Linked DNA regions of Arabidopsis thaliana. The protein of the gene in region 2 purifies or fractionates together with the protein of the main gene of each other region. This does not show direct contact. Each region holds a gene or a part of one and is shown on either strand. Other genes may lie near its edges.

Region 1 (5,478 bases), on a different chromosome or scaffold from region 2:
GACTGATGGCTCGCAACTTATCTCAACTGCAGCCTAACAAGGAAAAATGGGATATCTCCGCATTAGTGATTAGGGAAGTCCTTCTGATATTAAACCCAGCTAAGCAATTCAAAAAATAGTATTATTGCAGAGTATATACCATATGCCGTGCACCTTTCAGAACTGCCAGAGAATTTTCAAACATTGCGCACACAAAGTTTTTAGCCATCTCCTCTGGTGTTTCCTTTGCATCCTCAAGCTCATCAACCTGCAACTCATTTAGCGTCAGAACTGCCATTCCAGTACAACATGCAAATCAAACAATATAAAAGCATACCGACCAGTTTTTCTAGGGACAATGCAAGTCCCAGTTGCTCAGCACTATACCCAAATTTGTTTGCAACCTCCCAGAGCCCTGCTTTACTGCAGATGCTATATTGTGATTTCCTTTTCGGCCTCTTATACTGCCCTTCATCAACACCAATTTCACCGGGAGGAAAATGCAAGTTGAACTTGGAATCTACATCATCAACTTCTCTTTCTGTTTCTGCAACTTTAAGAGACTTAATGACTGATTCAAAAAGATACTGATTTAGATTAAGTCTTGTTTCATCATAGACCCTCCTAGACTCTTCTTCGTAACGTTTTGTATAGTAACCATGCAACGCCATTTTCCTTTTTCGAAGAAGGAGCCACTTCTTATCCAAGTCATGAATCATCCAGAAGACCTGCATTGGAAAATAGTATAGAATCCACCAAATTTCCTCTGACAATAAATGTTAACCTGAGCACTTGTTGTTTATCCAAGATAATTGCTTACCTTATGCCACTTGGTCTCAGGTTTCTTGCCTTGATTGGCGCCATCAAAATCACCAGTGTCCAACAAGCTCCGGCATTGCTCCTTTCGGTACATAGCTATAAACGGTATCTAGAAGAGACAGAAAACATTAGCAAGCTAATCAATGAATCAAAGAAAATCCAACGAGAGAATGAATCCAAAACCTCTAATTTCTGCACATGATGTAGCTCCAAAAATTTTGCGATGTCATCCTTATTAACCGAGAAACCCCGCCCATCAAAAGTTCCATCAGATTCTCTAAGTTGGGAAGCAAGTTGAGCATATATCCAATTGCTTTCTTCTTCAATGCTAATTTCATCTACAGGAGGGCTTCCGGTGCTTTCTTCAGATATCTGTCAAAGTTTACAAGATATCTTTACATCTATCCTTGAACACCAAAGAAAACATAGACCACAAGTATACATAGAGAAAACTAAAGAAGATAATGCACCTGCATTCTCTCAGGAATATCAAGCTGGCGGATTTCATCATCATTCCCTGTCATATATTTCTCAGAAAGAACAGTTGGTTCAAACTCATCTTCGAGCCTTCTTTCCATCCTTTGATTAGATGCCAAACCCTTTTTGCGAATTGTTAATAATTCGTCAACATCACCAAATATTTCATTAGCATCTCGCATAGCAGTAATATCTGATCCCTGCCTATATTTCTTTTTCTTCGAGTTGCCCCTGAAAAGTAAGTTGATTAGAATCAGAAAATGTACATGACATAAGTGATATGTTAGGGCACAAAAAAGACAGAAAAAAAATACCTCTTAGGAGGACCATGCTCATCATCTTCATCTACAATAAAATCTGCCATTTCATCCTCGCTCCCAACTACATCTTCTTCCACAACTAAGTCTTCCTCATCACCTACATCATCAGGTGGATCTAGTAGACACAAAATGTACATAGTCAACTATGTGCCAACAGTCAACATAATAGTATCAGAAGGCACAGAGAACCTACCATCAACATCAACATCATCAAACAGCCTGTCTTTGATCTTATCCTCAGCACTTCTCCTAGTTCCACCTCTACTATCAAACTCATCATCGGATGATTCTCCCTGGCCATTTCCCTGTTCCCTTTGAGCTTTCTTCAACCGCTTATACTGCCTCTGTCATGGTTCAAGAAAAAAGTCAAATGTATTAGTACTGCACATATATTTTTAGTGTATCTACAAAATCCTGATGTATTGTTATATACACAAATATGACTAACCTTTTTGAATTTGACGTTGTTATCTTGTAGAAGCAAATAATCATCTTCATCAAGACCTTCGTCCCTATTAAAATTATCATAAATGGAAGGTTAGTCAGAAAGAGAACAGACCTGCTATAGTTCGTCTAATGGTAACTTACATACTCATCACAAACAATGTATGAAAATCACAAATAAAGACTGCTGAGAATTAAGGGAACATTTCTTCAAAAGTATCATGCATGTCAACACTAACATTTAGTTTTTCATATGTTAGAAAAGGATAAAATCTAAGAGAATGAGTAAGGATATAAAATATTCACTTTTTCTTTCGTTTCTTCTTCTTTTTCTGCCTCTCCTCATCGCTATCTTTCCTTTCTTCGTCTTCTTCCTCTTCTTCCTCTTCGTCTTCATCATTCACTATGAACCCATCATTCTCATACTCATTCCCAACTACAAAACAGATATACGGATCCCACATCATGGAACAAAAATAGCCTGAATCTAAGTTAAAAAGCCTAGAAAGAAAAAGAAAAAAAAATACTCAAACCCAAGGTGAGAGAAATGTGTGCAGCTCAAAACTTGCAGAAACCATGAAGTCTAAAAAGGAACAAATCAAGCAACCGTATGAAACAGAGAATATAGAAACAAGAAGTGGTAGAAGGAGAGACTTTGCAGCAGATAAGTAAACATCTAAGAAACAAGATGCATTCACTTTTTTTTTTTTTTTGGTTGCCAAATCCAGACACTGCATCTTCTAATGGAGCAAATGCAGCAGAATTTCTCCAAATGAATCGATTTTAAGACAAAGAACTGCATGCGCTTCAGTACTAAACCAAACCATACCACTAATTTCCTTCGATGCAATCAGACTCTACAGCTTCCAGATTTAGGGTGGTAAGCAAAAAGAAACGAAAGACGACACATTTCTCACTGGGAGAAGTCAAAATCAAGGAAAAAACTTATACCGTCATCATCATCTTCTTCATCATCGTTTTCATCATGCTCAGCTGGATCTCCATGAACTGGCTCTCCGTCGTCATCCTCAAGCTCATGATCCTCTACGCAAAAGAGAAAAGGATTCAATTTTTTCATACAAATCAGAAGAAATAAACAAAACCCTAGTATTATTACGGCGTTTCACACAGAAAAAAATTAGGGTTTGCGACGAAGCGATTAAGGTACCTTCATCGTCAGAGATTGCGTTCCTCGCCATGTTTATCTCAACAAATTAGAAGTACGATAACGCAGAAATTAGCCCTGCAAACTGCAAAAAAAAACGAAGAGATTGTGATTATGATTTCTGATTTTGCGAAGAGAAAGGGGGAAGAAGGTTCTCGCGATTACTAGGGTTCTTCGAAAAGAGAACCCAGAAGGAGCTAGAGAAGAGAAATGGGTTTGGTAAAGGAAGAAGCTTTACCAGTGTGAATTTTTCATAAGCGAAAGGCGACGAAGAACTGATAAACGAAGAAGAAGACGGAGACGATGAAATTACAAGTTTATACTGACAGATTTGCCTCAATTTTTTCTCTGCGTTTTAGAAATATTTTTTTTTTAATAATGTTTTTAAAAATTATTATACTTTTTGAAGAAATGTAAAGAAAAAAAAGTCGAGACTAAAAACAAAACAAAGTTTATTCAACTTATCTTATAATTAGAGTGGAGAATATTTAATTCGATAATTCGAAATATAAGAAAATAGACATACATTAATAATTAATAAAAAAACGTTACATCGGCTAAAATGTTTAAACAATTATTTAAATTTATATGATAAATAAAATTAAAATAAATCTAAATCGGATTCAAATTTAAAAGTTTGTCTATAGATTAATTTAATTTTTAGTTAAACAATTTAATTTTATCAAAAATATAAAATTTTAAACTGTGAAAAAGTTTTAAATCTTATAATTGATATATTTAAAATTAAATAACAAGTTGATAATAATATAAACATTTGGACATATATAAAAATAAATATAACACTAGACAAATTATATTGTAGGACAAATTTTACACATGAGGCCCTAAAAACTTTTTATATTAGGTGGCCTAAAACAAATGTTTCGGCTTTTTTATGAACGGGCCGGGCTTGGATTCGGCCATATTTTGAGTTCATGCCTTTTAATATGGCAAGAAAAAGGTTAGAAACTAGACTAATTGTAGATTGTAAGTTTGTAACCGTAATGAGATACTGCAAATGGGTAAAAATCGTATTATTCCATAAACCACAAATGGAGAAGTCAAAGTTTGGCAAATATCACAACAAAAAGGTTGATATATCACATGCATATTATGTAGCTACACCGACATATCAAAGTTCTCCTATCAAATTTTAAAAAACATAAATCACCAACCCTACTCACACCCACCAATGCAGCCCATCATTCTTCCCAAATCTATAAACACAACACAATAATACAACAGTGACAATTTTAGCTTTTAAAGAATAACGTTTTCATGTGACTGGATAAAAACGACGTCTACGTAGCACGAAACTGCTTTGTTTGTTCTTGTAACGATCCGTACCATATCTTTTTTTATTAAAAAGTCACATTTATTATGGGATCAATAATTTACTCTCCATGGATTATTTCATACTATAATGTACACGTACATTATCATAAAGCCAAGATAAAATTAAAAACGCCTTTTACTACGTGTTAGTCTATATAATATAGATTAAGTCTGAAACCCAAATCACAAACTTCACTCAAAACCTAATTAACTTAGAGAGAAAGAGAGAGAGAGAAGGGTTGCAAAATGGGTTCTTCGTACCAAGAATCTCCACCGTTGCTTCTTGAAGATCTTAAGGTTACGATCAAAGAATCAACACTCATTTTCCCATCTGAAGAAACCAGCGAGAGAAAATCCATGTTCTTATCCAACGTCGACCAAATTCTCAACTTTGACGTTCAAACAGTTCATTTCTTCCGACCTAACAAGGAGTTTCCACCGGAGATGGTCTCGGAGAAGCTGAGAAAGGCGTTGGTGAAACTCATGGACGCTTATGAGTTCTTGGCCGGGAGACTCCGCGTGGATCCTAGCTCTGGACGGCTTGATGTTGACTGTAACGGTGCTGGAGCTGGCTTTGTGACGGCGGCGAGTGACTACACGTTGGAGGAACTTGGAGATTTGGTTTATCCAAATCCAGCTTTTGCTCAATTGGTTACAAGTCAGCTTCAGAGTTTGCCCAAAGATGATCAACCCTTGTTTGTCTTTCAGGTAACCAATAAATAAACCTTTGCTTTCTAATTTTTTTTGTTCCAAAATGATCCTAAATCTAGTTAACAAATAACAAGTTTTTTTTTTGTTCTCTTTGCGTTTTGTCTTTTAATCAGGAAGAAAGAAAAAAAAAATCAAAAGTTTTGAGTGTATAAACACAAAGAAGCTTCCTTAGAATCAAAAAAATTTCGAACATGTTCACAATAAATTTTGTGAACTTTTAGCTATTTT
Region 2 (7,356 bases):
ATGTTCTAGATAACAATTTTTTGAATGATTCAAACTACTTTTCCTTCCAATCATTGTCTTGCTTTATAAATGTATATAAGATATATGAGTCTATAAATTAAGAGACATCACATATTTACTGTTAAAAGGCATCTGGATATTCACAGGAGTTTTATGTACAAGTGATTTCTCTCTGTTTATTCTTTTGAGCAGGACTCAGACGCCATTATGTTCTTTGAGCAAGTCTTTATTACAATGCTAAGAAGTTTCATTTTCATCAAATGCCATCACCTGAAAGATTAGAGTGAAACAATTAGGTATGGATGCATTAACTCCAAAAAGTTAACTCATCTCATGGTTCTCTATATGACCAATAATTGTATGAGAAATGGACCACTACTTAAAATGGGGATATCAAATTCTAATACAAAATGATGCACTTTTAATATCGATGAAGGAGATTGATGGAACATTCGACCAAATCCGGGTTTTAAAGTTTTGTAGAAAGCGACGAGTTACCTTTCCACAGACGGGGCAAGTTTCACTTCTCTCCATCCATTCATAAATACAGCTAAGGTGGAAATGGTGAGAACACTTGGTGATTATCTTCGGATTCTCCAAAGTGTAATCTGCATATTGTTAAAACAAAGAACTATGAAACCAATATTACCTTAATGCACTCGCAACGATTGCCTCATCTACGTAAACTATACTATTAATGGCCTAATGGCTCAGGACTCAGGAGTGCACTAAATGAAGAAATGAAACCAAGAAAGCAACTTATAAAGATCTACTAACAACCTAACACACTCTTTACCAACAAAACTGCATATAATAGGTTCAAAGAGAATAATAACAATAGCATCAAACTAATTTTTTAGTATTACCATCAAGGCAGGTTGGACAAATATCTTCATCATCCGAATCTGCATAATAAACTTCTATCCCCGGCATTGTTTTCGACTTTGTAAAGGTTGATGAACCTTTCGTATACACTTCTTTCGAACCATCTTCAGAATCAGACTTACTCCACTTGGCTCCACCATCACCCAAAGCTTCAGAACTCATTTCAGTATCACCTCTTAACGGTTCTGATTCTTCACCTGAATGACTAGAGCCCTTAACAAAACGAAAGTACCTAGGATCAGCATCGTAAGGCAATGGTGTTGGAGGAGAATGATATACACTAGACAGAGAGTCATCAAGTGCAGTTGTTGAATTCATCACTGTAGCTGTCTCTACAGTTGAAGGTATTGGATGCATTCCCCCTCTACTAAACAACGAAGCATACTGCCCAAAAAAAATCGAACATAAAGTTTTAACTACAAAGAAACAAAAGATTCGAAGACGAAAGTGAAGAAGAACATTACCAAATCCATGAAACTCTGGAGGAAGCAATTAAGGCAAGGACAGTTCCTAGTTATGGAAGTGTTTGGATTCACATAACTCTCAAAGAGATCAACTTGAAAGCAACAACAGAAAGCACCCATATCTTCGAAATCAATACTTTCAAATTTCACAGAGAATGAGAGAGGAAAGCCAATTTCACAGAAGATTTTCACTAGCTCCCGTAAACCAGAATCCTTCCTCTCTCTTCTTGGTGCAAAACTCTTGTTCCTCCTACACAGTAGAATCACCTGTAAGAGAAACATATAACATTTCTAAAACCAAATGAATAACTAAACTTGAATAAGCTAATACACATCACAAAACTATACAATTCGAGCAAAAAAAAACAGTTTTTTTAAGGATTCATTGTTTAATGTACGAGCAAAAGCATCAACCTTTCAGATAAAAAGCATCAATCCGATGAAACCCAAAAACCATCATAAGCTCATCGATCAACATCAGATGATCAGTAATGAATGGTATCAAAATCCAATGATCATCAAAGAAACTTTCAAAGGAAAACAAAAAACAGAGGAATCGATGAGTACCTTTGTGATAGAGACCTGAGAAAATCCAGAAGCAAGAGAAAACCCAGGAATTTTCCGGTATTGACTAATTCTAAAATTGAAGATTTTTCAGGTTCGTCGAAAAAGTGCAAAATGAAGTTTCCTGAATAATAGCGATCCTTTCTCTCTCGTCTTTGTCTTCTTCTACCTTTTGATCCATAAGCCTTTTTGGTCGAAATTTAACCAGGGAAAAACAGAAAGTTTCGTAAATAGTCCCTTTAATTTTACATATATTTAGTTATGACCCCAAACGTTTCGATTATAAAGCTTAAACTTATTCTAATTGTGACCCATACATTTTTGTATACAAAAACCATTTCTTTTCTCGGCAGCACCAAGGGCATACAGATTTACATCTCTTAGGAAGTTTGTTTCTTGATTTTCTGCTAAGTTTTTATACTACCAACTCACCAAGAAATTGCGACAATCGAATGAATTTTTAAGTTGTTCCGAGCTAAGCCTAGCATTTCCACATTGTTGGAGTTATGGATTTATGTTCAAATTCTAACAACAAAATGTCTTTCGAGTTTAAGAAGTTGTAAGTATCCTAATAATAATAGTATCCTGACTATTGTCGAATAAAGGTCAAGTTGGTCTAAAGTTATCTCTACACTTGATAACAAACAACAGAAGAGCTCAAAATTGTAATAATCTCAAATGTCTGTCTTGCTGCAGAGACCACACCTCATTATGTGAGAGAAGCCAAGTGTTGTCTTGAATTCAATTACCCACCTTGGCAACTTTTCTCTGCTCGGTTTGGCCCGACAAGGGGCACTGCATCTCTGTCCAACTTATCGGAACCATTGTTTCGCCTGCACAATCACCAGACCACATAAACATTTCGATTACTCAAACGGAAATTAACTTCGTATAGTATTATAAACTGCCCAAAGAAGCAAATGCATCTACACATTAACATACTCCAAGTCCAGGACGAAAATATTTGTTACTCATAATTCCATAATGAGAACTACAAGTTAGAAATGTATTACAATTTGATATGTGATAGATTAGCTATATAATTAGTAATCTTTGCCCTCATTACCCTTTATTTAGTTTCTAAGAGTAGGAAAAAAATTACCCGCAGCACTTTCAGCTGAGACCACACCAAGTTCATTCTTAGCAGTTGACAAGTAGTAAGCCCGTGCATCACCAAGAGACAGCTTTAAGAGTCCAAGTTAAGGCAACTTCAGATATTATCACCCAAAACATCATCTATTATTATAGACTACACCTACGCTACATTCAAATTAAACTATACAAAGAGATATGTAAGTAAAAAGAGAAAATAAATGGCATAATGTAACAAATCTTAGAATTGTCTCTCCTCTAATAAACAATGTTAACCACTGTACTACTAGACAATAAGTGTGAAACATAAGCGCAAGGATACAACCATAGCTCTAACAATGTCACCAGCATGGAAAGACTGATGCATGTCAACTTTGTCAATCTCTGTTGCTCTAACATCTTGTTGCCTATGAAAGAGCAAACACAAGTTAGATCGACACATAAAAGAACAAACCTTGAAAATAAACACCAAAGGAGGATGAGAAATTCACCTAATTACACCAGCAAAATTTTCACGAACGGCTTTTGAACCAACACACAAGATATCAACAGCAGCCATCTTAGTCATAACTTTAGTCACCTATCACGAATAACAGAGAATAGTGAGTGATGAAATTACTCTCTTTTTTTCCAAGTATGAACATCAATGAATCCAATGAAATAAGTGCAGGACTCACTCTTGCTATGACAACAGAACCAGTCTCTGGAATAGGACCATGTGCCTTGTGACCTGTAACTTCCACAATAGCTCTCTGCTTACCATTTTTATCATCCAATAAGTTATATATCCATAACAATCACAAAAACAAGTATAACAATCCAACGATTTCGATTTCGATTACGAATAGATGTGCCAGAAGAATTAATCACTTGGAACAAAGACGAAACCTGATCAATTGATTCGGGAAGAGGAGAAACAATCCGGCAAGTTCCTGTGAGGGAAGCGTAGATGGTGGCGTCGTTGACGTAAGCTCCTTTTCCAGCTTTAAACTCTGTCGCTTTCCCGATTACATCTCCCGGCGTTACTAGCCCCGTCGTCATTGTTTCAAAATTTTCCGATTTGAGAGTATCAAACAAAACCCTAGGAAGGAACCTCTGGGTTTTAGATTGAGAAAATTAAAACAATTCGGAATCCATCCCTTTAGTGTTATATAAATTCAACTTTGACCCTAAATGTTCTGGTTGTAATTTTAAACTATTCTAATTTTGACCCATAGTGTTTTCTTATTACCCAATTCGACCCGGTTAGACTTAAATACCTTAGTCCGACCCGGATACATCTCATACCCGAGTCCGACGCGGTTATTACCCAGTTTCAACTTTCAACAGTCGACGACACTTGCAGAAAAATTCGAGTTTGATTCCTTTAATTGAAAATCCAATAAACAAGCGGGACCTCGATTTGAAATCTCTTTATCCAGATCCATCTCTCCGTCACAATCTTCCATCTACCGTCACCGGAACCGGCGAGTTAGTCGTCGGGATTCCAGATCTGTTTGTCTACGTCTTCCTTCTGTCTCTGTGTTCATCAGAGTACCAATTCGCTCGATTGTTGCTGCATTTCGCGAATTGTATTAGGTTTATAGCGTCTATGAACTCCTGTTTTCGCTCGATTTGAGTAACCTAGGTATTTCTCTACGTTGATTGTTTGGATTTGAAGAAAAGGCGCAAAGTATGAGTAGAAATTTCGGAAGTTTCATGAAGATTTGAGGGATTGAGTTAGGTATTGTAGTTGTAGAGAGAATGCAGAGTTTATCGAGCTCGGCTCCGACACCGGAGGCGATATTAGAATGGTTACAGAAGGAAATGGGGTACAGGCAATTAGGTCCGTATAATGGATCGAGCAAATCTCATGTTCCTTCTATTGATGCTATAAGGAAGATTTGTAGAGGGAATATGATACCTATATGGAATTTTTTGATAAACCGAGTGAAATCGGAGAAGACAGTGGAGAGAATTAGGCGGAATATTACGGTTCATGGGGGAAGTAGTAATGCTAGCATTGGGAGTTCGGTAAATCCTGGGAAGGAGGAGAGTAAGAGTAAAGGAAGGCGGAAGGATAAGACAGTGACTGGTGAGAGTTCGAGTTATGCGGAGGATAGAGAAGCTGCATTGCAGGAAAGGGAATTAGCTGCAAAGGAAGTGGAGAGATTGAGGAACATAGTGAGGAGGCAAAGAAAAGATTTGAAAGCTAGAATGTTGGAGGTCTCTAGAGAAGAAGCAGAGCGGAAGAGGATGCTTGATGAAAGAGCAAATTACAGGTTTGTTTTGAATCTTTCAATTTTGAATACTGTATTTGGATACATTGCTTCTCACTTGTAAAATAATACAATAGAAATAACCTGCACCACTCAGCTCAGGTTCATTTAATATTTTCTCTTGTTGTTGTTATGCTTTATTATCGTTAGTGTTAAGTCCTCAACAGAACCATTACAAGTATGGTTGCTATGTGTAGTATGGTTAGCTGCTTAGAGTTTTGGTGGTATTTCGATTTCGTTTCTCTATGATTTCAGGAGCCATAGATATATAGCCCTGAAGTATTCTTCTTTCGTTTTGTTGATTCTCCAATGATTTTAATATACCCTAGAATGGAATATATGGGATTTAGTCAGGCTATTTTGTTTCTCTGGTTTCATGGATATGCCACATCGCCCATTCTTAAGATTCTCACTTTTGTATGGCGATATTGATTGTCTTTTTGCCCTCTTCATGAACCTCAATCAACAGCATTTATCTATGTTGAAATGCATTGATTCTGTTCATACAACAAATCAAAATATTTGTTGTAGTTATGTTCAGTAGATCTTTCAAATTGTTTAGTGAGTTTTATTTTTCCTTTTTTCAGACACAAGCAAGCATTGTTGGAAGCGTATGATCAACAATGTGATGAAGCAACAAGAATATTTGCAGAGTATCACAAAAGGCTACAAGTCTATGTTAATCAAGCAAATGATGCACAACGGTCTGTCAATTCATCGAATGAAGTGTTAAGCAGCCTCAGTGCTAACAGTGAGAGGGAAGCTGTTTATTCCACTGTCAAAGGAACTAAGTCTGCAGATGATGTCATTCTCATGGAAACAACCCGAGAACGAAATATCAGGATAGTATGTGATTTGCTTGCATCACGCATGATTGAAAGAATACGTAACTCCTTCCCTGCATACGAAGGAAATGGAATTTGTTCACTTCCAGAGCTGGAAACTGCCAAGCTGGGTTTTGAGTATGATGGAGAAATAACTGATGAGATGAAAACTGTTATAGTAAATTCCCTGAGGGGTCCTCCTCTGCTGCTTCAGGCTATTGCTGCATACACTTTACGCATTAAGACTCTGATATCCAGAGAGATGGAGAAGATTGATGTCAGAGCAGATGCTGAAATGTTAAGGTGTGTCCTGACTTTCCTTCTTATGCCACTCTTTGTTATTGTGCACTCCTGATTCTGCAGGGTATGGTTCACCCAAATGCACCTTGCATGCTATTTTTGCTAATTTTCTTGACACACAAGTGGAAGATTATGAAACTCATATAGCAAATTAGTACTTATGCTGAAGTTCCTGGACTCCCTTTAAGATATGTCTGATCAATGATAATTGTATCTCTGTCTCTTATAAGTTTTCAGTTTTCGTCTCTGCTTTCTTAAGTTCTTGTTCCAGGGTTGCTTTGGACTAACATAAGCAATTGGATGTCAATCTATTTGCAGGTATAAGTTTGAGAACAACCGTGTAACAGACAATTCTTCTTCTGATGTGAGCTCCCCTTTGAGTTATCAGTTTAATGGAAACGGGAAGATAGGCACAGATACTCATTTCCAAGGATCTAACAACCAGCTCCTTGAACGGCAGGTTGCTTTCTATGTCTAGTTTTGCTGGTTTCTTCTTGTTAATTTGAAGATATGGAGAAAGGAGGGTTAAGCTTCAGGCAAATGTTTAATTCAGAAAGATATGTTTTGGTCTTCTAGTGCTGTATTTGTATATGTTGCACTGTATGGCTATATGTTTAAAGTCTGTTTATCTTAACTTTCACCTGTGCTACTTTTTCCAGAAAGCCCATGTTCAACAATTTTTGGCTACTGAAGATGCACTAAACAAAGCAGCTGAAGCTCGTGATTTATGCCACAAGTTTATTAACCGTTTGCATGGAAGTGCTGATACAGCTACTCATTCGTTTGTTGGAGGCACAACACAGAGTGGTAGCAATCTTAGGCAATTTGAGGTAGATGCCAGACTCCCTTGGTTTCTTTAGTTTTTTTCCCTTCACTTGAATCTAAAAAGACAAAATCATGTTCCTGTACAAATCTTACAATCCAAACACTCTTATACTTGTTATGTAGCAGGCACTGCATGACTGATTC

The links. Proteins that work in one complex are often made in the same cells at the same time.
Region 1: the proteins of AT5G38890 (region 2) and GTB1 fractionate together in Arabidopsis thaliana (co-fractionation; one large-scale study listed by BioGRID). This does not show direct contact.

Annotation. Positions count from the first base shown.
Region 1 is NC_003070.9:24,311,090-24,316,567, forward strand, and holds the start of GTB1 (global transcription factor group B1), read right to left. Parts: upstream 3,551-5,478; 5' UTR 3,443-3,550; exon of another isoform or gene 3,370-3,442; intron 3,290-3,369; 5' UTR 3,239-3,289; coding exon 3,208-3,238; intron 3,084-3,207; coding exon 2,991-3,083; intron 2,780-2,990; coding exon of another isoform or gene 2,738-2,779; intron 2,476-2,737; coding exon 2,346-2,475; intron 2,108-2,345; coding exon 2,044-2,107; intron 1,940-2,043; coding exon 1,789-1,939; intron 1,711-1,788; coding exon 1,590-1,710; intron 1,507-1,589; coding exon 1,269-1,506; intron 1,171-1,268; coding exon 982-1,170; intron 908-981; coding exon 800-907; intron 708-799; coding exon 321-707; intron 248-320; coding exon 140-247; intron 34-139; coding exon 1-33. Other genes in the region: GLC (HXXXD-type acyl-transferase family protein), read left to right, coding at 4,786-5,247. UniProt on the Arabidopsis thaliana protein: Transcription elongation factor that enhances the transcription elongation by RNA polymerase II (RNAPII).
Region 2 is NC_003076.8:15,566,197-15,573,552, reverse strand, and holds AT5G38890 (Nucleic acid-binding, OB-fold-like protein), read right to left. Parts: upstream 4,136-7,356; 5' UTR 4,047-4,135; coding exon 3,894-4,046; intron 3,758-3,893; coding exon 3,683-3,757; intron 3,586-3,682; coding exon 3,497-3,585; intron 3,413-3,496; coding exon 3,328-3,412; intron 3,098-3,327; coding exon 3,016-3,097; intron 2,747-3,015; coding exon 2,655-2,746; 3' UTR 2,384-2,654; downstream 1-2,383. Other genes in the region: AT5G38895 (RING/U-box superfamily protein), read right to left, coding at 238-270, 499-608, 867-1,269, 1,350-1,599, 1,917-2,098, 2,249-2,278; AUG5 (HAUS augmin-like complex subunit), read left to right, coding at 4,749-5,266, 5,851-6,390, 6,706-6,847, 7,047-7,217.